Canis lupus familiaris: one gene and its partners. Each later gene encodes a partner of the first gene's protein in a complex. Links are inferred from orthologs where the notes say so. Each region holds a gene or a part of one and is shown in the gene's direction. Other genes may lie near its edges. The genes, in order: SFN, LRRK2, MLXIPL, PIN1, RIPK2, EIF2AK2 and SOS1.

Region 1 (3,279 bases):
TCTTTATCTTGGTCCTGTCTCTCTCTCCAGGTGCTAGCGTCCCCCTTGGGGAACCAAATTGGGCTGAGCACCCAAGTGGCCTGCTTCCCAGCCTTTGACAGAAGGCAGGCTGAGTCAGGCAGGAGAGCTGGGCCCCCACCCTGTGTGAGCCCCACTGATACATGATGGCAGGCGGCTTGGAGGGGGTAGGTGACCTGGCGTGGAGAGCCAGAGGGTAGGTCCTCAAACAAGTGGTAACAGGCCACCAACTTGAAAGGGAAAATTGTGCTGTGATGGGGAAGGTGTCCAACAAACCTACTGGATGACTAATTACAAAGGCTGGGCTGGAGCGTCAGGGGCCGCTCATTAAATACCTCATTAAGTGGCACCCTGAACGATGCCACCTGTGCATTCTGGGACCTCAGAGGGAACCCTGAGGGGGGGTGATGACCAAGGGAGAGAACCATTTCAGGTAGACTCCGGAAGAAGCCTGGATTTCACTTCTAAATACAGTCTGGAGCTTACAAGTCAGAGGCCTTGACGAGAGAAGCCAAAGGAAGTAGGATACAGGGGATTTATTAGCTGTGTGACCTTGAGCAAATCTCATCCCTCTCTGAGCCTTAGCATTCCCACCTCTAAAGTGGGAGTAAAAGTCATAGTCTGGCCCATCTCACAGAGACATAGTAAGGATTCAATCCAATCGTGGCTGTGAAGGTGCTTGGGAAACTACAGCCCTACCTAAACATAATTATCTCACCCAAACCAAGGTGGAAAATGTACCTGGTAGGATTAAGAACCCCATCCTCCTGGGTGCACCTGTCTTCATGCGCTCTAGCCAGGCTGAAGCGGCCACTTGGTTGAAGCCATCCCTGGCCCCTGGAAGAACACCATGAAGGAGGATCTGATTTGAGAAACTGGGGCATCTGGGTGGGCACTCATGGAATCAAAGCACCGAACAAGAGGGGGCAGCCTGGAGCTTGGAAAGGTGTCCTGTGCAGGTGGGGCCGACGCCCGGCGGAGTTCTCCCGCAGACTGAGCCCCGATGACTCACCCTACATCCCAGCCTTTTACCTTTAAGGAAGAGCCGGAAAGGGTGTGGGGAGAAGACCAGAGGGAGGCAGGTCCCGGGCCCCAGCCCCGCCCTCGGTCCCTCCCCACCCCTCTCTGGGGCCAGACCTTCCAGCCAAAAGGCAGGCAGAGAGCAGGAGAGGCACAGAATCCGGCATCGGTTTCAAGGCAGCCAGTTAGCCCGCCGCCTGTCTGTCACCAGAGCCATGGAGAGAGCCAGTCTGATCCAGAAGGCCAAGTTGGCAGAACAGGCTGAGCGCTACGAGGACATGGCAGCCTTCATGAAGAGCGCCGTGGAAAAGGGTGAGGAGCTGTCCTGCGAAGAGCGAAACCTGCTCTCGGTGGCCTACAAGAACGTGGTGGGGGGCCAGAGGGCTGCCTGGAGGGTCCTGTCCAGTATCGAGCAGAAAGGCAATGAGGAGAGCTCGGAAGAGAAGGGCCCGGAGGTGCGAGAGTACCGGGAGAAGGTGGAGACCGAGCTCCGGGGCGTGTGTGACACGGTGCTGGGCCTGCTGGACAGCCACCTCATCAAGGAGGCCGGGGATGCCGAAAGTCGAGTCTTCTACCTGAAGATGAAGGGCGACTACTACCGCTACCTGGCCGAGGTGGCCACTGGTGACGACAAGAAGCGCATCATTGACTCAGCCCGGTCCGCCTACCAGGAGGCCATGGACATCAGCAAGAAGGAGATGCCACCCACCAACCCCATCCGCCTGGGCCTGGCCCTGAACTTTTCTGTCTTCCACTACGAGATCGCCAACAGCCCCGAGGAGGCCATCTCACTGGCCAAGACCACCTTCGACGAGGCCATGGCTGACCTGCACACCCTCAGCGAGGACTCCTACAAAGACAGCACCCTCATCATGCAGCTGCTGAGAGACAACCTGACGCTGTGGACCGCCGACAACGCCGGGGAAGAGGGGGGCGAGGCTCCCGAGGAACCCCAGAGCTGAGCCGCCCACCGCGCCCTCCCCGCCGCGCCCTGCCCTCTCCAGCACCCCGCCCGCCCGTGGCAGAGAGGACTAGTGTGGGGTGCGAGGCCCGACCCTCCTACCCCAATGCTCTGCCTCCTGCTCACGAGAGCTCCGAGGAGAGGAAGCAGCAGAGCTGAGGCCGGCTAGGGCCGGGGGACTCGCTCTTCCTGCCGCTGTCGGGGCCCGCCCACCCCTGCTCTCCGCACCCCTCCCCGAAACCCCACCGCCAACCGGGCCACTTCCTCCCCCTCCTGCCTCCCTCCTGCCCCCCGTTGCCTCTGAATCTTAGGAATTGAGGAGTGTCCCACCCTTGTGGCTGAGAGCTGGACTGTATGGCAGAGCCTGGAGATGAGTGTGTGTGTGTGAAAGAGCGAGAGCGAGTGAGAGCACGAGTGAGAGCGCGCAAGACCCGGATGAAAGGGAAAGCATGTCTGCTGGGTGTGACCCTGTTTCCTCTCAATAAAGCTCCCCTGTGACACTCCTCCTGTCTCTTCCAGTTATTGGCGAAGCGATGGGACAAGGACTGGCTTATGATTTAGAGACCTTGACTTCTGATTTAGGGCCTTGACCTCTCACGGGGCTGGCTCAGGGACCCACAGGCAAGACTCTGGAGCCAGTGACCCCAGGTGAGAGGCTGGGGGGCAGGAGGTCCAGCTCTCCATCAGGGTGGCCCCCAGCAAGCTGGTCTGGTCCCGGACGGTCGGGGGAGCGCAAAGGCGGCCCTAAGGCTGCTCTAGGGCTGCAGGGCGGGGGGCTGAAGAGTCCAGATCTGAGGGGACAGGAAAGCCTCTCAGGTGTGAGGTCCGAGCGACAAGGACAGGTTGTAGTGAGCCGCAGCGAGCACCCCGGCCTTGAAAGCGAGTTAGAGGCCCATCCAGTGCTCAGATCTGAGAGGAGGGGAGCACAATCTGGGTAGAGGCTTGCGCCGCCATTAAAAGCCCGTATCTGAGAGGGGATGCCCCCGCCCCCAGCGCTCCGACTCGGGGACGGAAAGAAAGGGTCCGGCGAGGAGGAGCCGCGGGCGGGGTGGGCAGGGCCGCGGGGGGCGGAGGCCCGCCCAGGCCGGGCCAGATCAACGCCTCCGCCCCCTCCCGCGGCCCCGACACGCCGGGACCCGCGGCCAGCTGGCCGGCTCCCACCTCCACGGCCCGGGGGCGGGGGCGGGGCGGGGGCGGGCCCGAGGCCGATGCCGCCCAATCCCGGGACGGAGCTGCTCGGGGTTCCGCCCCCCGGGCCCGGCGGGCCAATGGGGCAGAGC
Region 2 (4,264 bases), on another chromosome or scaffold:
CATTACTTCGGTACTTTTTTTTTTTTCCTTTTTAACTTTAGAGTTACAGACACTTATAAGTAATTTGAAATACCAGGAGAACAATGTTCAGGTTTGTATCTTCCACCTTTTCCGGTTTTCCGCTTTCATCTTTCCATTTACCCTGTATTTCTCTTTAAATAGGGCTGAGAACTGCTTATTCTTTGGTGCGCCCCAATTATCAAGACCCTACGGAGCGCAAACTCAAATTTCCAAAAGTTAATTTTAGTGAACTTTTGGCCAACGGAGCTTTACGATAAATAACTGAGGGGGCGGGAGGAATGGGTGGCTGGGTGGGAAGGGATTTGCTCCCCTACAAAAAGCCACAGCAACCACAGGAAAAAAAAAAAAAAAAAAAAAAAAAAAAAAGAGCCTTCAGCCGGGCACATTTTGATTGCAGAAATCCCTCTCCATCCCTGGTGGGAAATTATTCATTTCCCTATAGGGGGAACTCTAAAGAACATGTTCTCCTAAAAGGGGCCAACTGGGCGGTGCCCTCCTTTCCCGACGCCCAGATTTCTATTCTTAGATCTGGAGATAGGCGGCGGCTTTCATTTTTTAGGTTTCCTAGCGGGCGGCCCCTCCGCGGCGCTCAAGGAGCGGGGCCCGGGGCGCGGCAGGGGCGGCGGGAGGGGGCGGGGGCGCGGCGGGAGGGGGCGGGGGCGGGGGCGGGGGCGGCGGGCCCGGGCCTGGGGCTCCGTTTCCTCCCGCGCGACTCCCGGCCGCGCCGCCGCGGGGAGCAGGAGCGGGTCCCGGGAGGCGGCGCTCTCCGGGTCGGGGACCGGGGCCACCCGGCCGGGCCCAGCCCCAGCCGCACGCGCCCTCCCTCGGCCGAGCCTCCGCAGGCCGCTGAGCTCCTCTTTGCGGCCCTGGTGGGGGAGGAGGCAGCCGGGGAGGAGGGCTGCGGCGAGCGAGGGCGGCGCGGGGCGCGGGGCGCGGGGCCTTCCTCCCCGAGCGGCGGGCGTGGGCGCGGACGGGGCGGGCGGGGAGCGCAGGCTGCGGCGCTGAGCTGTGCTCGTGCCCGCGAGCGGCGGCGGAGCCCCGGGCCCGGGTCCTAACCCCGGGTCCTAACCCTGGGCCCTACCCCGAGCCCTAACCCCGAGCCCTAACTCCGGTCCCTAACCCCGCCCCCTACCCCCCCCCCCACCTCCCCGGCCCCTGCCCCAGGCCCTGCCCCAGCCCTAACCCCGGGCTCTAACCCCGGGCTCTAACCCCGAGCCCTAACCCCGGGCTCTAACCCCGGGCTCTAACCCCGAGCCCTAACCCTGGGCTCTAACCCCGGGTGCTAACCCCGGGCTCTAACCCCCCGCTCTAACCCCGAGCCCCAACCCCGGGCTCTAACCCGAGCCCTAACCCCCGGCTCTAGGCTCTAACCCCGAGCCCTAACCCCCGGCTCTAACCCCCGCCCCTATCCCGGCCCCAGCCGCCGGCCTCCGCGAGGGAGGGACCCGCGTGGAGCAGAGTCCGTCATGGCCAGTGGCAGCTGTCAGGGCTGCGAGGAGGAGGACGAGGAAACTCTGAAGAAGTTGATAGTCAGGCTGAACAATGTCCAGGAAGGAAAACAGATAGAGACCCTGGTCCAAATCCTGGAGGATATGCTGGTGTTCACGTACGCCGACCACGGTAATGAGTCGCAAGGAAACTCTCTCCTCCGCTCCCCTCCCGCCTCTTTTTTGCAAACTTTCTCCCTCGCGTTTTTCCGAGTTGCACAAACCTGGGCTCGTGAGAAGCCACAGACTGTCAACTCCTTAGGGCAGAAAGGAGCTGAGAATTGTAGGGAGGTCTTGCGCTCACTTCTTTTGCTTTCTCCCCCTGTTTCATCCCCTGTGCGTGGATGGTGACTTTGCTTCTTTTTCCCTCACCCCCTTCTCTTCCAGCCTCCAAGTTATTTCAAGGCAAAAAAGTCCACGTGCCTGTGTTGATCGTCTTGGACTTGTATATGAGAGTCGCTAGTGTGCAGCAGGTAAAGGAGTTGTTTTCATGTCACCCGTTCTCCTTTCTGTCTGGAAATAGATGTTTTTCTGTCAATATTATACACCCAAAAGTTCTGGGTTAATTCTGGCATTTGGCTTCTCAAACCACTGACTGTGATTTGAAGAAGGAAGCGATACAAGTCATGGTCAAATGTTACTGATGTGAAAGGGCCCGCTAAGAGCTCCCTAATTGTTTTGGAGAAGTAGGTTTATACAACTGACCTACAAAATATGGTTGGTGGTGGGTAGGAAATAATCAGAAGTTGAAATTTACTTCTGTGATTGGCTAGATGAGTTCACCAGTATCAGCATTTAATCAAATTATTCTAAGAATCTTACCAAGAACAGCATGTTCTAGAGATGACACCGCTGTGAACAGTTAGGGAAAGGAGAATAATTAGCCACTAAAAAATTAATGATGATTAAATTAATAAAATGAAGTAACTGGCAAATTCTCATAGGTTTAAGCTTTGTTTCTTTCTTTTTTAAATTTGAGAACAGATTTCTGGCCTTTAATTGTAGTGTGCATTGTGTTATCTAAAGAAAGCGATGTCTTAGCATCCTCCTGTAAGTTTATATTTGTATTTTTCAACTCTTTTCATATAAACTGAATATAAAAGTGAGACTTAAAATCAGTACCACAGGAAACACAAAAATTTGTTAAATGCCTTCAATATATTAAAAAAAATGAAGATGATAATTGAGGATGATTTACAGTCAAAACAAATGATTGGCTAACATATTGACTTCCTTTGTAGAATTTGAGATTTAGAGAACTGAAATCAGGCACTTGCATGTTGTTGGGTCCTGAAGAGAAAGAGAATTGAACTTTGAACTCTGTCAAGGTGTAGTCAGAAAGCCAGTGTTTCTTAATATTTACTGGAGAGGCTAGACGCAAGTAGGAATTATCTGGATCTCTAAATCTGTATCTACCTTTATCTTTATGTTCATTCATCTCTGTATCCAGCTATGTCTAGTCTGGGTGAACCATATTCCTAGCTTCTTTTAAATGAGGACATTTACATTTGGGATAAATGGTTATTTTAAATTTTCTTCAACTGAAACATCTCCCATCTGACTATTGATTTTCAAGTTGTTAGCAAACAAAATCATGAAAAGATGGGAGGCGTGATAGAGACACTGTTCGTTTTAGCATCCAGTGCCTGAATTTTGCCCATGAAATATGAGTCACATTTTAGAGCTGGCCCATTGTGCTTGCTGCTTCCCTCCCACATCATCCCTTCTCACTTGCCTCTGCTTTGGTGTTCAGAAGTGCCTTGTCTGGCAGCTTCTATTCCTTGGCTTCCGTGCATGGTATAGAGGATCTTCCTGTTGGGTGCCACTCAGAACCCGCGGGACCTTTGGAGGGCTTGCTGTGCAGGGTCCAGAGAGGCAGTGCTAAACTTGAGAATCCAGGGGAGGCTGGAACAGACCCACCCACCACTTCATTCTTTGTTTTAGAAGCTATCCACACCTGGACATGTTTGCATGGAGTGGCTCTGAATGCCACTTAATACCTCGTCCAGTGGGTACCGGAGACAAAGTATGCAAGAAAATAAGGAATTGTCTTTTGATTTGGTTACTTAATGGAATAGAATTATTCATTTCCCCACCATGTATTAGTCTGCAAAAGGCATGTTATCCCATCATTTAATTCTCACTGGAATCACACTGCTCTCTCAGAAATCTCACTGGACATTTTTACCTTTACATTTTACCAGAGCTAAGTACCACATTGCTAATGACAGAGCCAGGACTCAAGTCTTCACATACCTTCAGAATCTCTTTTCACTATACGTTCTGAATTCACAAGCTTTTCGTGCAAGTAAGAAGTACAGTGATTTGTTACAAATACTGTGGCCTTGCTAGGCACAATTACATTATCAGTTTTAATTATCATTGGTCTTATCAAGGGAATATAGAAAGGGGTCACTTTACCAATATTTTAATACTCCACTTAAAGTGGTTTTTTTTTCTTCAGATTTCTTCATATTTGTGGTGTAATATATATATATATATATATATATATATATATACACACACACACATACACACACACACATCCTTTAATGCTTTATATGTTGAGTTAGTTGGAAGTGCTGAATTAAAACTTCTGAATGATGAATTGAAGAAGGTAAGGTAAATTTAAAAGTAAATATTAATGTTTCTTTCCAGAATTCATTTAATGTGATATTCCAGACTCCAAATTCTTTTTTCAAGGTCTTTTTACATTTTATTACTGCTCCTTAATAAATGACAGTCTTTAGAGAATT
Region 3 (3,788 bases), on another chromosome or scaffold:
CCCCCCAGCTTTGGCCCCATGGCTGACCCTTTCTTCAGCAGTGGGATCCTGGGCTCAGAGGTGCCCCCTGCCTCATCAGGCGTGACCCACCTCTCAGGGCATAACCGCCTGCAGGTGAGCTCCAGCTCTGCTACACTCAGTCCTGCCTAGGTCACCTACCTGTTTCTGGGAGATAGGGTACTTCCTGAGTGCCCAGTCCTGTGCTTGGTTGACTGAGAGGGACTGAAGGGGGAGAGAGAGCCCATCTCTGCCCTGTGAGAGGGCACCATTCAGCTGGGATGGAAAGATCGTGAAGCATTACTGGACCAGGTGGTTGTAGAAGGGAGGCTGGGGGTAGGGGCATGGAGCCAGGGTACCACTGAAGAGTGGGTTGCTTGTGAAAGGCTTCCTGGAGGAGGGGAGGTTCTGGGCTTAGTGAATGGATTGGGTTTGGACAGAAAAAGAGACCAATAGAAGGCAAGCCAGATGAGGAGACAAGCACAAATGAGCCCATGGAGACAGAAAGCTCAGTGTGAGTGTTTAGGAAATGGTGAACCTGCCATTGTGGATTGGGAACTCACAGGCTCAATTCAGATGTCACCTCCCTGCTGCTTGGTCAGAAGCCTTTTCCCTCTATCATCAGCCTGTTCAGGCATTCTTGTAGTTCATCGTTGAGAGATCTCCTCAACTAGACAGTGAGCTCCTTGCTGGAAGAGCTAAGCCTTGCTCGCCACTCCATGTTCCATACCTAGCACAGTCCAAGCACATTGGCAGCACTGGGTAAATGGTTGCCCAATGAGTGTGTAGATGGATGGGGTGTTGATGAATTGATAGATGGGTTGTAGATGGAGGTGGTTGCTTACATGGGTTGGTGTACATTTAGGTAGGTGAGTGGTCGGTTGGATGGAAGGGCTGGTAGATGGATTTGAAGATGCATAGTTTGATGGGTTGATGAATAGGCTGGTGGCTGAATAAGTGGCTGGTCAGGGAACAGATGGTGGATGGGTGGATGGATTATGAATGGGTTGGTGGATGAATTAAGGAGAGACGGTTGGATGGATTGGTGAATGGGCTAATACCTGGTGGGCTGGAGGACAGAGCAGTGAGAGGACATATAGGTGAACGGAGGATGATGGGTTAGTGGATGGATTGGTGGCTGGATGGAGAAATTATCTGGCAAATGCAAATATAGGCAGGAAGACTGATGCTCTTTCTCACACCTAATAGGTGCATACGTGTGTTCCACTCCCACCTCTCATTAGATTACAATTTCCTTTGGTGTGTGGGGGGTGGGGACAGGAGGGACCATTTCTCCTGTCTCTCCCAGTGCCCAGTCCAGAGCTCAGCCAGGGCAAGAGGCTGCCAGGGTGGCTACAAAAGCCAGCTGTTCCCCCCCTGCTCTCTGTTTGTTCCCCAACCAGGCCCGGAGCAGCTGCCCTGGCCCGCTAGATTCCAGTGCCTTCCTGAACTCTGATTTCCTCCTTCCTGAAGACCCCAAGCCCAAGCTGCCACCCCCTCCAGTACCCCCACCGCTCTTCCAATACCCTGCCCTTGCCAAGGGGCCTGGCCTAGAGCCCTGTGCCCCCCCCACCTTCCCTCCCATGGCTCCTCCCCCTGCCTTGCTGCAGGAAGAACCTCTCTTCTCTCCCAGATTCCCCTTCTCTACCATCCCACCTGCCCCAGGAGTGTCCCCACTGCCTGCTCCCACTGCCTTCCCACCGACCCCACAGCCTGGCCCAGGCCCTGCCCCTCCCCCCTTCCCCATAGACCTTCTACCCTCGGGATATCTGGAGCCCCAATTTGGGCCCCACTTCACAGTACCCCAAAGCATGCGGCCCAGAGGCAGGCCCCCCACCCCATCCCCTAGAGGGCGGAAGCCCAGTCCCCCAACCTTGGCCCCTGCCACGGCCAACTCCACTGCCACTGCGGGAGGCAGCAACCCCTGCCTCACACAGCTGCTCACAGCAGGTGAGATGGGAAGAGCAGGATCCCACAGAGGGAAAGTGGGACCAAATGTAGAAGTGGGGAGCCTGGGGGAGCAGAGGGTGAAGTTTAAGGGGCAGGCTCAGGCTCAGCTGGCAGGATGGGGAGGTGGCAAGGAATTAGGGACATGGGCCCTGAAACCAGAAGGGGAGCAGGACTTTCTGGAAGGGCGAGACGGGGCCTTGGGAGTTGGGTCCCCCCAGTGGATGGGGGGACGGTCTTGAGGCTGGCCCCAGTGGCGCTCATAGTTCTGCCTGTGTACAGCCAAGCCTGAGCAAACCTTGGAACCACCACTTGTGTCCAGCACCCTCCTTCGGCCCTCAGGGTCCCCGGTAAGATGGTGGGCACTGGGAGGTGAGGGTGGGCCCCAGGCTTTACCTCCTTTTAACTCTCTGCCCTTCTCCACCCCAGCAGGAGATGGCCCCTGAATTCCCCTGCACCTTCCTCCCCCCGACCCCGGCCCCCACACCGCCCCGGCCACCTCCAGGCCCAGCCACATTGGCCCCTCCCAGGCCCCTGATTGTCCCCAAAGCGGAGCGGCTCTCACCCCCAGCACACAGCGGTAAAGAGAGCTTGCAAGGCTTGGGGAACTCCAGGGGATGGAGAAAGGGGAAGGAAGAAGGAGGGATGACATCTGAGGCCAGGATGAGAGGAACAGGGCAATGGGACCCTCTCCCCTGTGTTGGTCTGTCTGTGGGTCTGTCTGTCCCTGTCACAGGTGGTAAGCGGCGGCTGTCTGGGGAGCTCAGCTCCATGCAGGGCCTGGGGACTCTGAGCGTCCACGTCTCTCCCCCTCAACCCATCCTCAGCCGGGGCCGTCCAGACAACAATAAGGTGGCACCATTCCCTCATCCCAAGATCTGTTTGCTACCCCTAGGCCCTTCCATGCTCCTTCCTAGGCTCACCCCACTGTCTGCCCCCCAAGACTGAGAACCGGCGCATCACACACATCTCTGCAGAGCAGAAGCGGCGCTTCAACATCAAGCTGGGGTTTGACACCTTGCACGGGCTGGTGAGCACACTCAGCGCCCAGCCCAGCCTCAAGGTGAGCCCCCAGCCCCAGCTGGCACCCCCAGAACCATAAGGCTCCTTCGTAGGCCCCCCTCCCACCGTCCAAGACCCAATCCCAGGAACCTCTGGACACCCAGTTTCCACCTTCCACCCAGTGCCTCAGTGGGCCACAGAGTGGGGCCACTTCTAGCACCTGAGCCTACCCTGGTGATGCCTACAGGTGAGCAAAGCAACCACGCTGCAGAAGACGGCTGAGTACATCGCCATGCTGCAGCAAGAGCGGGCGGCCATGCAGGAGGAGGCCCAGCAGCTACGGGACCAGATCGAGGAGCTCAATGCTGCCATCAAGTAGGTGGGGGACCAAGGGCACTGGGGCAAGGGGGTAGGCCTGCCCGACTCCCCAGCCCTGACTGGCCCCCCTTTCCCCCAGCCTTGTGCCAGCAGCAGCTGCCTGCTACTGGGGTGCCCATTACACACCAGCGTTTCGACCAGATGAGAGACATGTTTGACGACTATGTCCGCACCCGGACGCTGCACAACTGGAAGTTCTGGGTAGTATCCTCATTCGGCCAGGGGTGGCGTGAGTGCTGGAGCCAGACCCAGCTGTGCCTGACTGCAGGCTAGCTCCACAGGCCAGGCAGGGGCCCAGAGCTGCCCCCAGGGGAAGAGACTCAAGTCCTTCCAGGTCTTTGGCATCCTGGCCAGCAGGAGTGCCCGGTGTTATGATGGGAGCAGAGGGAAACTCAGGAAGGAGGCCCTGGGTGCAGCCCAGAAGGGCAGAGAGGGCCCCCGACAGGCCATGGCAGGATGGGGGG
Region 4 (4,437 bases), on another chromosome or scaffold:
TTTTTTTAATGCTTTGATATCTTTCTATAACTAATTATTTTCAATTAATGTTTGTTGATTTGTTATGCTTTCATACATACTATAATTGCTACACTGTACAGTGACTAGCTTTTCTTTTCACTCATCAAACATATTTTTGCTATGAGGCAGACGCTGTTTGGAGAGCATTCTACAGATTAACTCAATTTTTGCATCAAAGGTATGTATGAGATATATATATTTCTTATTCTCATTTGCAGATGGAGAAGCTGAAAAGCTGAAACACAGAGATTAGTTTCTTCAAAGTCATAGCCAGGCTTTGAACACAAGCGATCTGGCTCTTGAATGCTCTTAACCTACTATATCCTATTTCTTGTAGACATGTTTTCCCATGTTTTATATGACTGTGCCTCATTTTTTTTTTTTTAAGATTTTATTTATTCACGAGAGACACACACAGAGAGAGGCAGAGACAGGAAGAGGGAGAAGCAGGCTCCATGCATGGAGCCCGATGTGGTACTCGATTCCGGGACTCCAGGATCACGCCCTGAGCTGAAGGCAGGTGCTACGCCACTGAGCCACCCAGGGATCCCCGCCTCATTCTTTTTCAATGGTCACATAGGGGTCTAGTTCTAGATGAACTATCATTGAACTCTTCCTTGTTGGTGTCTTTGCCTCTCGTATCTATCTCCAGCCTGTCCCCAGGCACCTCCCCAGAGTCCCACAGGTGCCGCAGACTCAATTTTAAGACGATTCAAACTGAGCTCATCATCCTCCTACAGACGCATCCTCCTGTGTCGCCAGCTAAGTGGCCATGCCAACACCCACCAGTCACCCAGGACAGAGGCAGGAGCCAGACCGAGAGAATAAGTTAAGTAGGTTCCAAAGGAAGTAGAAGATGTTTGGTCAGTGGCACAGGGAAAGGGTTAGTCTCGCAAAAGAAAAAAAAAAAGTGGGGGGACAGCTTTGGACATCTGGAGGAAACAGGTGGGGAGAAGGAGGATGGAGGAGCCAAATTTAGGCTTCTTCGCTGCTCATCACCAAGGCAACTGCGTTGCTACGGCAACAGCTAAGGCAGCACCGCCTCTTTCAAGTACCTCGTGGGCTGCCGTCACCTCGAAACCACCCGGACACTTCCGCATAAGGGGGCGCGGGCCTCCGGGAACGGCTGAGGAAGGCGGGAACTACTGCCGCAGTAGCCAATCGGATGGGGCCTGCGGCGAAGGACGCAAAGGAGGTGCCCGGACTTCTGTGAAGCTCGCCGGAGGCTGTGGAGAAGGACGGGCTCCAGCCCCTTCCCTACCAGTCAGCGGCCGAGGGAGGAAGGGGGCGGGATCCGGGGGAGGCCGTACGGGGGCGGGACCCGGTAGAACGCACGGAGGGTCCGCCCAGTCTCGCCGCTACCCAATAGAAAGCCCGAAGGCCTCTCCGGACTGCTCGGGCGCCCAATGAGCATCGTCGCCGGGCCCCGGGGCGAGGCGGGCCGAGCCAATCGGCGGCGGCGGTGGGCGGGTGCGGGCGGCATAGGCGGTGCGGCGGAGGCGGAGCGGGCGCTGCGGCAGGAGGGAAGATGGCGGACGAGGAGAAGCTGCCGCCCGGCTGGGAGAAGCGCATGAGCCGCAGCTCAGGTGCCGCGGGGGTCGGGGCTGGGGCGGGGCCGCGCGGGCCCGCGGAAGCAGGGCTCGAGCTCGCCCCTGGGGCGCGGCGCCGCCGCCCGATTCCCGTGGGGTCTTGGCTCCTCCGCGTCTTCCCAGGGTAACGGCCCGGGCCCGCCCCGTGGGGGCTGCGAACCTCAGGAGCGGGGATGCCGGAGGAAACTGAGGCAAGGGGCGGGGCCGGAGAGACCCAGCGCGCTGCCGGGGGTGGGGGGGGCGGGGGCGGGGGGCCGGGGATCCCGCAGCACTCCCCCAGGTGATGGCCCTGGCCCTGCCGATCCGGCTGACACCTTTTGGCCTATTGCACCCGACGTCCCCGGGGACCGTGTCTGCACCCTGCTGGGCCCGGGGGGCACCCCGGGGAAGGACACCCCAACCCCACGCTCAGGGCGTGGCCTCAGAGCGTTGCCGGGCCTCGGGCCCACAACCTGCCCCTGCTAACCCGCCGGCCATCCCCGCCTAACCCGAGTCTGTCGTCGCCGCCCGGTGGATGGACCCTGTGCCGGGAGCCCGATCTGAGGCTTATCCACAGTAATAATACCCGTAACCGCACGCTCATCTTACCGCCCAGCCCTGTGCCAAGTGTGTTTGGAGTGTGTTCTCCCTCTCTCTCTCTGAATGACCACAACTCTGGGAGGTGGATAGTTATCACCCCGTTTTGCAGGTGAGGAAGCAGAAGTCAGAAAACTTAAGGAGCTCCCCCAAGGTCATTCATTTCAGGGGGTGGGGGCTGGATTAGAGTCCGGTCAGTCTGACAGCAGAGCCCGCCTGCCCTTGTCACTGCAGACCAGTGAGGAGCAGGCCCAGCATCTCACCGCACTGCCTCCCCAGCCCATAAAAATCACAGTCACAGTGATATCTGCTCATTGAAGGCCAGGCCCTCTGGTGAGCACTTTGCACGGATCATCACTGTTCTCCACATTAGCCCCGTGAAGTTATGTCCTTAATCTCTCGCTTCACCCCCACTTTTCAGATGAGAAAACCAAGGTTCATGGAGAGAGAGGCCATTGCAAGGTTTTAGGGTCGGTCACTGGCTCAGCTCTCACTGAGCCCGCTCCAGCCCTGCTCCGTGGCCACAGCTGACAGCATGAATCCTGATGCTCTGCCCTGTTCTGGGCCCCCTCTCTGGCCATTTCTGCTCGGCTCCACCCTAATGGTCTTCCTCAGGGGTGACCTTCAGTTCTTCACGGTGCTGGGTGCCAGTCGTGCAAAAATCTCAGCCCCTGGAATGATGCCTGGGCTCTCCTGGGTTCTACCTCAATCTTCTCTCTTGTGGCCTTCCCTCCTTCCTGCTCCTTGGGCCCTGGGTAACGTTTGACCCCCCTGTACTGCTGGTCCATAGTTGTGCAGCGCTGTACACTGGGTGCGGGTTAAGAACAGAGCTTTCATGTTTGGCAACCTGGGTTTAATTCCTGCCTCCAGCCATGTGTGCCTGGGGCCAAGTGTACACTCAGGAAACATTCCAAAGGTGTGGAAGGTGAGGCCTCACTTCTGTCGTCTACAGGGAGATGATAGCTGTCACGCTCCTAATGTGTACTGGGCACTAGTCTAAGTGTGTTACCGCTGTGAGCTCACTCAGTCCTTAGCACAACCCTACAGGCAGGGACTGTTGTTATCTGCATTTTACAGGTGACAAAATCAAGGCCCAGAGAGGTTAGCTCACACAGTGAGTGACAGCCAGACTTGAACAGGCAGCCTGGCTGCCTGTCCCCACACCGGCTTCGTCTCTCCTGTCACTCTGGGTGGTTTTCCTCCTTGAAGTCACTAATAACTGAAGTTATGACATTGTCTTATTTGCTTGTCTGGGGCCTGCCCATCCCCATCTAGAATGCTGGCTCCCTCGGGGCCTGTAGCTCGAGGTGGACTCAGGGGATTTGTTGAATGAAGGAATCCCATTGGCCGGTCCGTCATCTTGGCCTCCGGGTGGTGTCCTTTGAGCAGGTCCCAGCTGAATTCCTGTATCCCCCCTCCTCCAGGCCGGGTATACTACTTCAATCACATTACTAATGCCAGCCAGTGGGAGCGGCCGAGTGGCAACAGCAGCAGTGGCAGCAAAAATGGACAAGGGGAGCCCACCAGGGTCCGCTGCTCGCACCTGCTTGTCAAGCACAGCCAGTCCCGGCGGCCCTCATCCTGGCGACAGGAGAAGATCACCAGGACCAAGGAGGAGGCCCTGGAGCTGATTAATGGTGAGCAGAGTTGGAAGCAGGTTGGAGTGGGGGGAATGTGGGGAGAGGTTGTCCCCTCATTGGGAGCTGGAGCCAGCCTCGTAGAAATCACACCAGGCCCTGCACCCCAGCTAACTCAGCTGTCAGCATTGGCTGCCACCGAACTGCCTGTACGTGACGTGAGCCTGGACTGCACAGCTGCCTCTCCTTTTTCTTTCTATTTGGCATTTGAGGGTGAGCCAGGTTACGAGAGGAGGACCCAGCCTTGGGGGCTGGCAGCCCTGGGTTCAGATGGTGGCTATGCCCTGTAAGCTCCAGGGGGAGCTTGTGTCATCTTGAGACTCAGTTTTCCCCTCTGTAAAATGGGTGTTGTCACATACCTGCCCATACCTGGTGTGTAGGTGCCAAGAAAACTATGAAATCAGCAGCATTTAGCTCACTAGGGCCATAAGTTGCAGAACCCTGGTATGGAGCTGCCTGGTATGGCTGCCACTACCTACACATGGCTGTTACTATTTAAATTAATTAAAACTAAGCCATATTCAAGATTGGTTCCTTACACTGGCCACACTTCAAGTGCTTGGCAGCCACAGGTGGCTAGTGGCTGCCATCTTAGCGCAGATATAAAACTTTTC
Region 5 (3,089 bases), on another chromosome or scaffold:
GATTATAAACCCTCTTTTGCTCTAAGATGTATTTGCCTTTAGAACTAGATTTATGAACCAGCTTTAATAACTGAAAATTTAAAGACAATACTATTTTCCGTATGACCAGGATGTTGATATTTTAGCTAATAGGAATAGCTAAGGACTCTTCTACCCCTAATGAAGATGTTGTGTTTTGTAGGAAAAACTCAAGACTTTTCTCCGGTGTGTCACTATCCAGTAAATCACAGTTGCAATAGTAACATCTCTGCAGCTCAGAAGTGGACGTTTTGTGATCACAAGACCACCCCATGCGCGTTAACAGTAATAAATCCATTCTCAGCTGAGGGAAACACAGGTAAATATTTAACACTTGTAAATGATGCTCTTTACCTTACAACTGTACGCTCAGATTTCCCACACAGTTAGTTTTATTCATCTTTATTTCTTCAACACAATAAACACATACCTTCTTAAATAGGAAAGCACTTGCAATCCTAGAAGATATGAGTGCTGACATGTGATAATAGGCCCACATGGTATTCCATGAACATCTATCTAGGGAGGGAGGTGTGACTTAGTATGTTACTAAAAGTAAAGTTTTTTGTTTTTGTTTTTAATAATAAATTTATTTTTTATTGGTGCTCAATTTGCCAACATACAGAATAACACCCAGTGCTCATCTCTATGTATAATATAGATTGGGTTTTTACCCCCATGGATTTATAAACATATAAAAGGACTTTTTCTGGGAAGGGAACTGAAGGGAAAAGAAGAGATAACCCAAATATCTGAGTGTTTCCCAAAAATTAACAGCATCCCCCAATTCCTGTATTCCCTATTAGCATAATCACAGAAAGTTAGGTTTTACTCCTCATTATTTCTTTTTTATCCAGTTTTACTCATAGCCATAGAGCTGTCCTCAACTGCTTTGTTATCCTTTGCTCTTCTGCAGAGCGATTACAGCCTGGCATAGCCCAGCAGTGGATCCAGAGTAAAAGGGAAGACATTGTGAGCCAGATGACAGAAGCCTGCCTTAACCAGTCGCTAGATGCTCTCCTGTCCAGGGACTTGATCATGAAGGAGGACTATGAACTCGTTAGTACTAAACCTACAAGGACCTCAAAAGTCAGACAGTTACTGGACACCAGTGACATCCAAGGAGAAGAATTTGCCAGAATTATAGTACAAAAGTTGAAAGATAACAAGCAAATGGGTCTTCAGCCTTACCCGGAAATACTTGTGGTTTCTCGATCACAACCTTTAAATTCATTTCAAAATAAAAACTTATAAGTGACTCTTTTTCAAGAAGAAAAGTCTTTCTATAAGAGGTTATTTTATATTTCTGTTGCCTTTATCATGTCGTTTTTATAAAATCCACATGAATATTAGAAGTTTTAATTGAAGTTTCTTCTTCAGGTAAATATTAGTCTTCTTCCATAACATTATAGTATGTTTTTAAATTAATATATTGGAAAGTTTGTGTTTTGCTACATGGTTCCATTGTTTTGTCTCCTTGGTTAATTGAAATTATTTTTTAAATGTAATAGTTCTCATATATCACAATGCCTTGAGGTGTCATGCATTGCTCATGGAAGCCATTTTCATATTCACTTTCCTTGTGGATGATTTATTACTTGTCAAAGATACAGTTTGGCTTTTGGAACTTTAACCTTTATACTCAAATTAGAGTTAGCGCACCATTTCTAACATAGAGTGCCAGGTTCAAATCCTCTCCAAAAGGTTATGCATTAAACTGTGTTATCCAGATTACATTTTTTAAATCTTCTTCATTGAATTCTTAAAAAAAAAAAAAAAGTTTCAAAGGTCAAATGATACAAAGGAGATGAAGAAAAAAATCTTTCAACATATGTTTCTGCTCTCACTTCTAACCTCAGCTAGCAACCAAGGTGACTAAAACTAACAGCACAATATTTATCCTTCTATACCCTTCTTCCTACTGACATGTATATGCTCATTTGGGAAAGGGTTTTTCGTTAATATTATTACAGTACATCATACTACAACCTAATTTTTGCACTTAATAGTACATCATGCACAGCCTTCCAGGTCATGTATAAATCTAACTCATTCTTTTTAACTGCTGCATAGTATCAAGGCTGCTTTTTTATTTTTTTAACTTGTTCAAGTTTAGCCAAAACAATAATGATACAATGTGAAGTGGGGTTTTTTTTGTTTGTTTTGTTTTGGTTTGTTTTGGTTTATGTCACTAAATGAAAACTTACAAGGCATAATTGCTCTTCTGAAAATGTTTATTAGTAATGTCATCAAAAACTGTGATGCAGGATAAATTTGAAAGTACAGACTTTCAAGAAGGACCAGACCCACCGTATGAAAAAAGAAGAAGAAGAGTAAAAATGACCAGAAAGCATGGGGGCAATTATATATTTTATTAAAATATTTAGTATTTTAATCTCCATTTGGAGCTTGACATTAACCCGTGGTGCCTCATTACTATGTCTCTGAGAAATATGGAAATTAGTAGGGAAAAATAGAAACCAATTAAGTATACGAGTTATCATATCTCTTATTTTTAAAGTGTTAGGATAAAGATTTAATTTGGGAAATAAGTTGAGAAGATGGGATCGTTTTAGGTAGTACATAGACACAGCACCAAATAACATTTAAGTCAAACAGTAAGGAAATTCTTTTCAGTTCTTCTTTGAGCCTTTTTAAATAAGTAAAGGAGAATGTCACAATTGTGCGGTGTTCTTTTAATCCCCCTTGTTAAGAAAAACAGACTTCAGGCTCAGAACTTAAGAAACCGTATTTAGCCAGAATTTTATAGTTTTTTTTAATTGCATTTTATTTGAAAATGACCTCCATATGACAAGCGGTACTAGTTTTGTATCTATAATATATAAAGTTTCATTTCATAATATTCAAACAGAAAGATAGTGAGAAATACTAAATTGTACTACGATATGGGAGTATGACAGCAATCAGAAGTAGTAGGATGACATTAAGATTCAGTCACTCAAGGAGGGGACTTAATCTATAATTATCTATTTTAACAAGCTGGTACTAAATAATCTGAAAGTGGCGTTCTTTGCAGTATATTTTAAAAGAATATTACCCACAAGTGTACT
Region 6 (3,788 bases), on another chromosome or scaffold:
AGCAGCAGCCTCTGCTTGGTCTCCTTGCTTCTTGTGGTCTGCTCCCCTGTCCACACCGGTCCCTGCCGCCATACCTTATTCTTTACATAGTATCAGAATAATAATTTAGAACAGAAATCCAGGGGTGCCTCGGTGGCTCAGTCGGTTAAGCGTCTGCCTTCATCTCAGGTCATGATCCCAGCGTCCTGGGATCGAGCCCCACATCGGTTTCCCTGCTCAGTGGGGAGCCTGCTTCTCCCTCCACTCTGCACCCTCACTTGTGTTCTCTCGAGCACTTGCTCTCTCAAATAAATAAAAATCTTAAAACAACAACAACAACAAAAAAACAACAAAAAACCCCCCATTAGGGCAGCCCTGGTGGCGCAGCGGTTTGGCGCCGCCTGCAGCCTGGGGTATGATCATGGAGACCCGGGATCGAGTCCCGCATCGGGCTCCCTGTGTAGAGCCTGCTTCTCCCTCTGCCTGTGTCTCTGCCTCTCTCTCTCTGTGTCTATGAATAAAAAATAAATAAATAAATAAATAAATAAATAAATAAATAAATAAATAAAAAATAAAATAAAAATAAAAAAACCATTAATCCAATCACATCCCCTCTCTACTTAGAGAATGTCCAGTAACTTCCTATTGCAATTGGAATACCATCCATCAGTTGCGACCATGACCTATAAGATCTATACGCGCTGACCTCTCTGACTCACTTCCTGCTTTTTTCCCCCTCACTCACTATGCAGCCATCCCCTTGATCCCTTGATGTTTTTATTCTCCCTTCAAAGGCCATGGTGGTTACTGAGTTACTTTTCCCCCATATCTTGATATAATGGACTCATCATTCAGTCTTCATTTAAAATTGCCTCCTATGAAAGGTCTTTCCTGACCACTGTATCTAAAAACCACCTCCCTCATATCTCTGCCTCTACCTACCAACTCACCTTCTATGCCACACCCCTATCTAATTTCACAATAGCACTTCTGGCCATCTTATCATATTATCCACTCCCGTTATCTGTTTCTGTGCATGGCCATTTCCTGTCTTCCCTCAGGTCAGGTGTTCATTTGTCTTGTCCACATCTGTATACTCATTGTCAGAATGGTGCCTGGCACTCGATGAGTGTTTATTGAATAAATGAAGAAAGGATCCCCAGAAAATAGCAGATGAAGAAAAGGGAGCAGATGAGGGGGTTTCAAGTAGAGTATTTAGTTTTAACAGGTCATCCTTTCATTTTCCTATACACTATCCAAGTGTTGGACATTTACTACTTGTCACTGGGTATTGGTGATACAAAGATGAATAGGACGTGGAACCTGCTTCCCAAAAAGCTCACTGACTGGGCTGTTATGAGGGCTGAGCCAGGTGGAGTGGCAGGCCCTTGGAGGAGTACTGGCTGCCCCTCCAACATCAAAGAAAACTTGTCAGCCTCACAGATGAGTAGGAGTTGCCTGGTAGACAGAAGGTGTAGATACTGCATTCAGAGCAAAGCGAAAAGCATGTGACAAGTAATGCAGATGGAGGAAGGTCTGCTGATATTTTGGTATTCATTCATTGATTATTGACCCCCTATAATAACAGCCTGGCCCCCTCCCTCTTGTGGCTCATGGTCTCTTTTGGAAGATAGTCATTTATATAAGCAATTGCAGTAAAGTGAATAAGAGCTGTGATGGAGTGCCAAACAAGGACTTCTAGGGTCTCTGGGAAGGGACCTCTGAGCTGTGATCTCTAGGAAATGGGAGTTGACCAGGTGGAGGCAGTGGAAGGAGTGAAGTCAAGGAGGCAGCCTATTGAACAGAAACAGAGTCATGAAATAGTCAGGGGTAGAGGTGTTAATGATGGTGATAACCATCATTGTGTAGGTGAAATTTAAACCCATAAGTCTAGAGGTGATCACCAGGGGAGTGAGTGTTAGTAGAGCAGAGAGGAGATCTATAGATATCCTATTCTGTAAATTGTCTTTTCATTTTCTCCATAGTGTCCTATGTAACACAGATGTGTTTTTACTTTTGTTAAAGCCCAATCTATCTGTTTTCTTTTGCTGCTTGTGCTTTTGCTGTCATCGCAAAGATTCCATTGCCAAATCCAAGATTATGAAGATTACCCTTATTTTTTCTTCTAAGAGTTTTATAGTTTTGGCTTCTATATTTAGATTCTATATTTTTTTAGATTTTCATTATGACTTAAATCACTGCTACTCTCTTGGTCTAATAGACCCATAAATTGGGGTCATTATTTATCCAGGTAAAAGTGACTAATGCATATTTTAAAGGGAAGATTTTTGAGATTTCATTGGGGCATCTATTTCTATATAGTGAAATCTTCGATCATTTATAGACTTCACTTTATATGTATACTCTCAACCTTTTTTTTCTCATCATGAAGAATTCTGATTCTACTCGTGTAGCCTTTTTACCTTCTCACGCAGGTGGAGATACCTGTACCTGACACTCACTGGCAGCAGAGAGAAAAGTGGAAGAAAAAGACCCCTTTCCTTTTTTTGACCAGTTGAGTTTTGGAAGTAGAAAGTTTTGGAGAAATTAGCTTGGTGTGCAGTTCATGAGAGAAAAAGATTTTGTAAGACGTTTTCTCTGGATTTATGTGGGGCTGAAATGAGTCTATAAGAAAATTCTTGAGACGCTTGGGTGGCTCAGCAGTTGAGCGCCTGCCCTCGGCCCAGGGTGTGATCCTGGAGTCGGGGATCGAGTCCCGCATCGGGCTCCCTGCATGGAGCCTGCTTCTCTCTCTGCCTGTGTCTCTGCCTCTCTCTCTCTCTCTTCTCTGTGTCTCTCATGAATAAATAAGTAATTTTTTTAAAAAAAGAAAATTCTTCTGATCCTTTTTTGTCTCCTGCACTGAATTGGGAAAATGAGATTAAATATATTCTGTGTCACTTTTTTCAAACATCTCTTCTGTTCTAGGTTACTAGAGGAAATGGCCAATCAGCGTCCACCAAGTTTTTTTATTGAAGAACTTAATATATTCTGTCAGAAGCACAGAAAGGTACTTAAGTATAATGAACTGTCTAAGGAAGGACCTGCACATAACTTAAGGTAAATTTCTACTTTCTAAAGACTTTTTTAAAGCATTCTCAATACCCATTGTGGGTCTCAACCTGACAACCCTGAAATCGAGAATTGCATGCTCTACTGACTGAGCTAGCCAGGCACCCCAAATTGCTGTTTTTTTTTTTAAAGGTATAGCTGTATAAAATATGAACTGGAAGAATGGCAACTCTGGCATGATTTTGAAGTACATAATTAGCTCTAGAGCAAAGATGATGTGCTATTTGGCTGAGTGAGGGTGACTGCTTAAATTCTATATTGAACAGGTTAAAACCTTCAAGGTAGTTATGGGAGACAGTGTGATTGGAATACTTGTCTGTAGATAATGCAGGAATTTTATAACATTTTATGAATATTGCCTTTGTAATCAGATTTACATTCCAAGCTATCATAGATGAGAGAGAATATCCAGAAGCTGAAGGTAAATCAAAGAAGGAGGCCAGAAATACTGCAGCCAAATTAGCTCTTGAAATACTTCATAAAGAAAACAAGGTGAGTAAATGCCCCTTCTAACTTTACTTTGCAAGAAAACACACACAGAATAAAGCTATTCACAAGTACTTTTACATTCAGAAGTTGGGTCTTTTTCCTCCATCTCCTTTTCTGTAGAGCCTAGAGTCAGAGGTATATCTAGGAAGTAGTGGGCAAAGCCTGAAAATTACCTCTTTAGAATGCCAGCACTAAAGACAGCCTATGAAGTTGAATGCATAGGAAAGGAAACAGTGAGAAATGAGTCG
Region 7 (3,788 bases), on another chromosome or scaffold:
ACATTGCTTCCACTTTCTTAATTATAATATGTGCATGTTTGTTAGCTTTAGGATTTGTCCACTTAAACACTTCTAAATAATTTTTTTAAAGTCTTTTAAACGATTTTTTTCACTATATTGGGCTACTTTTTAATATTTGTCATTCTAAATATTTAGAAGTCAAGGTAGAAATAATCATTCCATAGCTAAATTTATAGAGTAGAATTTTGTCATTACTCATTGTTCTTTTTAGAGCACTAAAAAAAGTCTCTACTGTGTTGCTTTAGTTCCTAAAATGGTGCAGTTTTATAACACTAATATATTTGGAAAATTAATGAAAGCCTTCTCCGTGCAACTTTTTAAAATGTACTTTTATATTGTCCTTTATTTTATGAATTCTAGATTGTCTGTCATCTGTGTACTAATGATGTTTTTTTCCTTTATCCCAGTGAATCTGCATGTCGGTTTTATAGTCAGCAAATGAAGGGGAAACAACTAGCAATCAAGAAAATGAACGAGATTCAAAAGAATATTGATGGTTGGGAGGGAAAAGACATTGGACAATGTTGCAATGAATTTATAATGGAAGGAACTCTTACACGTGTAGGAGCCAAACATGAGAGACACATATTTCTCTTTGATGGCTTAATGATTTGCTGTAAATCAAATCATGGGCAGCCAAGACTTCCTGGTGCTAGCAATGCAGAATATCGTCTTAAAGAAAAGTTTTTCATGAGAAAGGTACAAATTAATGACAAAGATGACACCAGTGAGTACAAGCATGCTTTTGAAATAATTTTAAAAGATGAAAATAGTGTTATATTTTCTGCCAAGTCAGCTGAAGAGAAAAACAATTGGATGGCAGCATTGATATCTTTACAGTACCGGAGTACACTGGAAAGGATGCTTGATGTGACGATGCTACAGGAAGAGAAGGAGGAGCAGATGAGGCTCCCTAGTGCCGATGTTTATAGATTTGCAGAGCCTGACTCTGAAGAGAATATAATATTTGAAGAAAACATGCAGCCCAAGGCTGGAATTCCAATTATCAAAGCAGGAACTGTTATTAAACTTATAGAGAGGCTCACGTACCATATGTACGCAGGTAAGAAATATAAAGTTGCCTGTCACTTTTATTTTCCTGCTTCCAACTGATTTTCTTTGCTGCACAGGTCATTGTGCCTAAAATAGAAAGCAAACTAACAACAAAAGATCTCTGCATTATTCCGAGTTCATTTTCCTTTGCCTAAAAATACTGCCATTTGTACCTTTTCTGCCACATTTAAATATTATTTTTAACTTTACAACCAGAATTACAAGTAAGAAAATAAAATCACTTGGCTAAATTTACCCAATTGGTGGCAGAAACAAGATAAATCATCATTAGGGTCTAAAAACCTTTACCTTTTTTTTTCTTTCTTTCTTCTCTTTCCATTACTGAGATCTTAAAGTCAGTAAAAATTTTAGTATACATTCATTACCAGAACTGTGCTGGAATATGCGCATTGCTTTTTCTTAATTTCCATTCCTAAAACTTTCATTAAAGTTTTCAATATTTTTTTTCTGTTTTACAATTGATCACATTTAAGAAAACAGTATTACCTTAGCAGGGCAGTTTTTAAGAGACAAATGCATCCAAACTACCTAGGAAGATTGGTGGAAGCCAAATCAAATGTAATGTTGGGAGAGTTTAGGAACAAACATGATTTTTTTTTTTTAAAGTAATTCTATTTCTTCTAGTAAAGTAACCCATGATAATCCAATGTTCCTCAACCTTCAACTTTCCTACACGATAGAAAGCTTGGTAATTGTACAGTGCTGTAGCCTATGGTATAGTGGAAAGAGCACCAAATCTGGATTTACACCCTCACTCTGTCACAGTTCCCTAAGGTCCCAGACCTCAGTTTTCATCCCAAAAATCAACATCCCAACAGCAACCTTAGAATGTTATTGGAAAGAACAGATCAACGACTATATGCAAAAGCTCTTTGTAAATATAAATGTAAAATTTCAAAGAATGTTTTTATTACAAAGATCTATAAACTCAAACGTATATCTTATAACATAAATGCTCTTCTGAAGTAGTTGAATGTGAATGTTAACCTCCATCCCTATACTTCTTGCTTAAATATATTCTTATTTCTAAGAGATGTGTATTTCTAAGGGAGGTGGGGGTCTTTTGGTTTGTTTTGTTTTTTCATTTTTTAAAGTCCTCTAAATGGGTTCTCAGTTCTCTCTGGAAACTGTTCTGGCACCAGTTAAACTTTTAAAGATTACCCATTAACTGATCCATTGTAATAAAGATGAATAGCATTTGATAATATTAATCTGTTTGATTTATTAAATGTCCAGTCAGAACTACTTAAATGGCCTGGAAACTATCAGGGCCTCTTTGCAAAAAAAGTAAAATCAAGTTAGAATATTTTTATCAAAAAAAAAAAAAAGAATATTTTTATCAGTGATATCAAAACACTTTCGTTAATATCATGTTTCATTATCTCCACATGTCTCTGGGATAAATAAGCCAGTTTTGTTTTGGTTTTAATTTTTATTTGGCCTCCAATTGGTAGTTCTTTTGCTAGCTAGCCTTTTCCATAGTAAAATATTAGTGTTTTCCATAGGTTATTAAAAGCAGTTTGGATTCTCTAAACAGATTCCATTTGGTAGTAGCAGGCAGTAGCTGAAACACGTTGAAGATCATGCAAGAAACCTACTCTGGGATTCCAATTTTACTACTGATTTTTCACCTAGAAACTTCTGCTATCAGTGTTTTCATTTTACTGACTCAAAAATGAAAAAAAGCACAGGAAAGTTAAATAAGCTGCCTAAGATTTTACATAAAAAAGAAACAGATTACTCTAGCATCTTTTTTTATGTTATATAAAACTTTTTGAGAGGTATAATTTTCAGTAATTAATATGACTAACCTATTTTGTGATCTTCATCAGTTTCTGTGTACTCTTTAAGATCAAAATCAACTACAAAAATGTTTCATTAAATTACTCGAAACTTGTGGTTGCAGAATACTTCTTTCTTTGATTTTTAAGAATTTTTAAGGTTGTTACACAAGTTCAAATTGTTCTTCTTGCCACATTATTCTCAGTCTTAGATGATTCACTGATTTCATTAGCATGAACATCCTAAACTGTTTTTTATTTTAAATACCTTTGCTTTGAGTTCTTAGACTGTATTAAATTAATCCTTAGATTTTTATCTACATAAGACAAAAGTTTTACTGTTTTTTTTTTCCTGTAGAGCAATGTTAAGTAGAAAGTGCTAAAGAAGACTTATTATGTCACCATAGTGGCATTTAAATTGGAAAACATTTTCAGATTCCAAATTTTTTAATATAATTGTTTCTGTAAAACTTGATTGTTGATAAAGTTTTTTTTAAAAACTGCATTTCACAGAACTAACTTATTAGTAAACAGTTGCAGAACTACAATTAAATATTTTCTGGAAACTCTGCTTTTTATTTATTTTTTGAATTGAAAACACTTTAAAACAAAACTTGAACAAGCATAGCTGAGAGTTTTTCTGTAGTCTTGATTATTTTTTCTCCTTAATGTACACAATGCTAGCCAAGTCTGTAGACATAGTACTTTTGCTGTAGTGTCTTGTGAGTTATTTTTGATTGTGGCTCTTCTTTATATTAACCTTTAGCTTTTGAATAGAGTAGTATTTTCAATGGTTTTACTTCTAGTTAGTATAAAACACTGAAATTTCTAGATCTACAGGACTTTGTAAGCCTAAGTGTATTCACATTTAAACTGACAAGATTATTTTACTTTTTTAAAAAGTTAAAGTTT

Evidence for each region.
Region 2: the proteins of SFN (region 1) and LRRK2 are in contact, whole or in part, in a crystal structure (PDB 5MYC), measured with the Homo sapiens proteins. The link is inferred for Canis lupus familiaris from reciprocal best matches to the Homo sapiens genes SFN and LRRK2. Residues at the interface, in NP_006133.1 of Homo sapiens: Lys11, Glu14, Glu39, Asn42, Leu43, Ser45, Val46, Lys49, Asn50, Arg56, Arg60, Phe119, Lys122, Arg129, Tyr130, Pro167, Ile168, Gly171, Leu174, Asn175, Val178, Tyr181, Glu182, Asp215, Leu218, Ile219, Leu222, Asp225, Asn226, Leu229; in NP_940980.4 of Homo sapiens: Lys907, Ser908, Asn909, Ser910, Ile911, Ser912, Val913, Gly914, Glu915, Phe916, Tyr917, Arg918.
Region 3: the proteins of SFN (region 1) and MLXIPL are in contact, whole or in part, in a crystal structure (PDB 8BTQ), measured with the Homo sapiens proteins. The link is inferred for Canis lupus familiaris from reciprocal best matches to the Homo sapiens genes SFN and MLXIPL. Residues at the interface, in NP_006133.1 of Homo sapiens: Gly53, Arg56, Ala57, Arg60, Gln67, Arg129, Val178, Tyr181, Glu182, Lys214, Thr217, Leu218, Gln221, Leu222, Arg224, Asp225, Asn226, Leu229, Trp230; in NP_116569.1 of Homo sapiens: Arg117, Ile120, Arg121, Asn124, Trp127, Arg128, Ala129, Trp130, Tyr131, Ile132, Tyr134.
Region 4: the proteins of SFN (region 1) and PIN1 are in contact, whole or in part, in a crystal structure (PDB 7AOG), measured with the Homo sapiens proteins. The link is inferred for Canis lupus familiaris from reciprocal best matches to the Homo sapiens genes SFN and PIN1. Residues at the interface, in NP_006133.1 of Homo sapiens: Tyr19, Lys49, Asn50, Arg56, Arg60, Lys122, Asp126, Arg129, Tyr130, Pro167, Gly171, Leu174, Asn175, Val178, Glu182, Ile219, Leu222, Asn226, Leu229, Trp230; in NP_006212.1 of Homo sapiens: Arg68, Arg69, Pro70, Ser71, Ser72, Trp73, Arg74, Glu76.
Region 5: the proteins of SFN (region 1) and RIPK2 are in contact, whole or in part, in a crystal structure (PDB 7OBS), measured with the Homo sapiens proteins. The link is inferred for Canis lupus familiaris from reciprocal best matches to the Homo sapiens genes SFN and RIPK2. Residues at the interface, in NP_006133.1 of Homo sapiens: Lys49, Arg56, Arg60, Lys122, Asp126, Arg129, Tyr130, Pro167, Gly171, Leu174, Asn175, Val178, Tyr181, Glu182, Ile219, Leu222, Asp225, Asn226, Leu229, Trp230; in NP_003812.1 of Homo sapiens: Leu535, Gln536, Asn537, Lys538, Ser539, Met540.
Region 6: the proteins of SFN (region 1) and EIF2AK2 are in contact, whole or in part, in a crystal structure (PDB 7OBK), measured with the Homo sapiens proteins. The link is inferred for Canis lupus familiaris from reciprocal best matches to the Homo sapiens genes SFN and EIF2AK2. Residues at the interface, in NP_006133.1 of Homo sapiens: Lys49, Arg56, Lys122, Asp126, Arg129, Tyr130, Glu133, Gly171, Leu174, Asn175, Val178, Glu182, Leu222, Asp225, Asn226, Leu229, Trp230; in NP_001129123.1 of Homo sapiens: Asn546, Glu547, Arg548, His549, Thr550, Cys551.
Region 7: the proteins of SFN (region 1) and SOS1 are in contact, whole or in part, in a crystal structure (PDB 6Y44), measured with the Homo sapiens proteins. The link is inferred for Canis lupus familiaris from reciprocal best matches to the Homo sapiens genes SFN and SOS1. Residues at the interface, in NP_006133.1 of Homo sapiens: Glu14, Asn42, Ser45, Val46, Lys49, Arg56, Phe119, Lys122, Arg129, Tyr130, Pro167, Ile168, Gly171, Leu174, Asn175, Val178, Glu182, Leu218, Ile219, Leu222, Asp225, Asn226, Leu229, Trp230; in NP_005624.2 of Homo sapiens: Arg1158, Pro1159, Glu1160, Ser1161, Ala1162, Pro1163, Ala1164, Glu1165, Ser1166.

Annotation. Positions count from the first base shown.
Region 1 is NC_049223.1:72,664,955-72,668,233, reverse strand, and holds SFN (14-3-3 protein sigma), read left to right. Parts: upstream 1-1,153; 5' UTR 1,154-1,253; coding exon 1,254-2,000; 3' UTR 2,001-2,502; downstream 2,503-3,279. UniProt on the Homo sapiens protein: Adapter protein implicated in the regulation of a large spectrum of both general and specialized signaling pathways. Binds to a large number of partners, usually by recognition of a phosphoserine or phosphothreonine motif.
Region 2 is NC_049248.1:33,158,275-33,162,538, forward strand, and holds the start of LRRK2 (leucine-rich repeat serine/threonine-protein kinase 2), read left to right. Parts: upstream 1-1,385; 5' UTR 1,386-1,487; coding exon 1,488-1,641; intron 1,642-1,895; coding exon 1,896-1,981; intron 1,982-4,264. UniProt on the Homo sapiens protein: Serine/threonine-protein kinase which phosphorylates a broad range of proteins involved in multiple processes such as neuronal plasticity, innate immunity, autophagy, and vesicle trafficking.
Region 3 is NC_049227.1:6,563,092-6,566,879, forward strand, and holds part of MLXIPL (carbohydrate-responsive element-binding protein), read left to right. Parts: coding exon 1-114; intron 115-1,400; coding exon 1,401-1,947; intron 1,948-2,226; coding exon 2,227-2,294; intron 2,295-2,373; coding exon 2,374-2,796; intron 2,797-2,861; coding exon of another isoform or gene 2,862-2,887; coding exon 2,888-3,007; intron 3,008-3,193; coding exon 3,194-3,321; intron 3,322-3,403; coding exon of another isoform or gene 3,404-3,404; coding exon 3,405-3,528; intron 3,529-3,788. UniProt on the Homo sapiens protein: Binds DNA as a heterodimer with MLX/TCFL4 and activates transcription. Binds to the canonical E box sequence 5'-CACGTG-3'. Plays a role in transcriptional activation of glycolytic target genes. Involved in glucose-responsive gene regulation.
Region 4 is NC_049241.1:51,560,136-51,564,572, reverse strand, and holds the start of PIN1 (peptidyl-prolyl cis-trans isomerase NIMA-interacting 1), read left to right. Parts: upstream 1-1,401; 5' UTR 1,402-1,549; coding exon 1,550-1,607; intron 1,608-3,610; coding exon 3,611-3,823; intron 3,824-4,437. UniProt on the Homo sapiens protein: Peptidyl-prolyl cis/trans isomerase (PPIase) that binds to and isomerizes specific phosphorylated Ser/Thr-Pro (pSer/Thr-Pro) motifs.
Region 5 is NC_049250.1:35,952,800-35,955,888, forward strand, and holds the end of RIPK2 (receptor-interacting serine/threonine-protein kinase 2), read left to right. Parts: intron 1-181; coding exon 182-337; intron 338-934; coding exon 935-1,272; 3' UTR 1,273-2,437; downstream 2,438-3,089.
Region 6 is NC_049238.1:29,682,667-29,686,454, reverse strand, and holds part of EIF2AK2 (interferon-induced, double-stranded RNA-activated protein kinase), read left to right. Parts: intron 1-2,907; 5' UTR 2,908-2,920; coding exon 2,921-3,039; intron 3,040-3,422; coding exon 3,423-3,543; intron 3,544-3,788.
Region 7 is NC_049238.1:31,204,711-31,208,498, reverse strand, and holds part of SOS1 (son of sevenless homolog 1), read left to right. Parts: intron 1-428; coding exon 429-1,084; intron 1,085-3,788.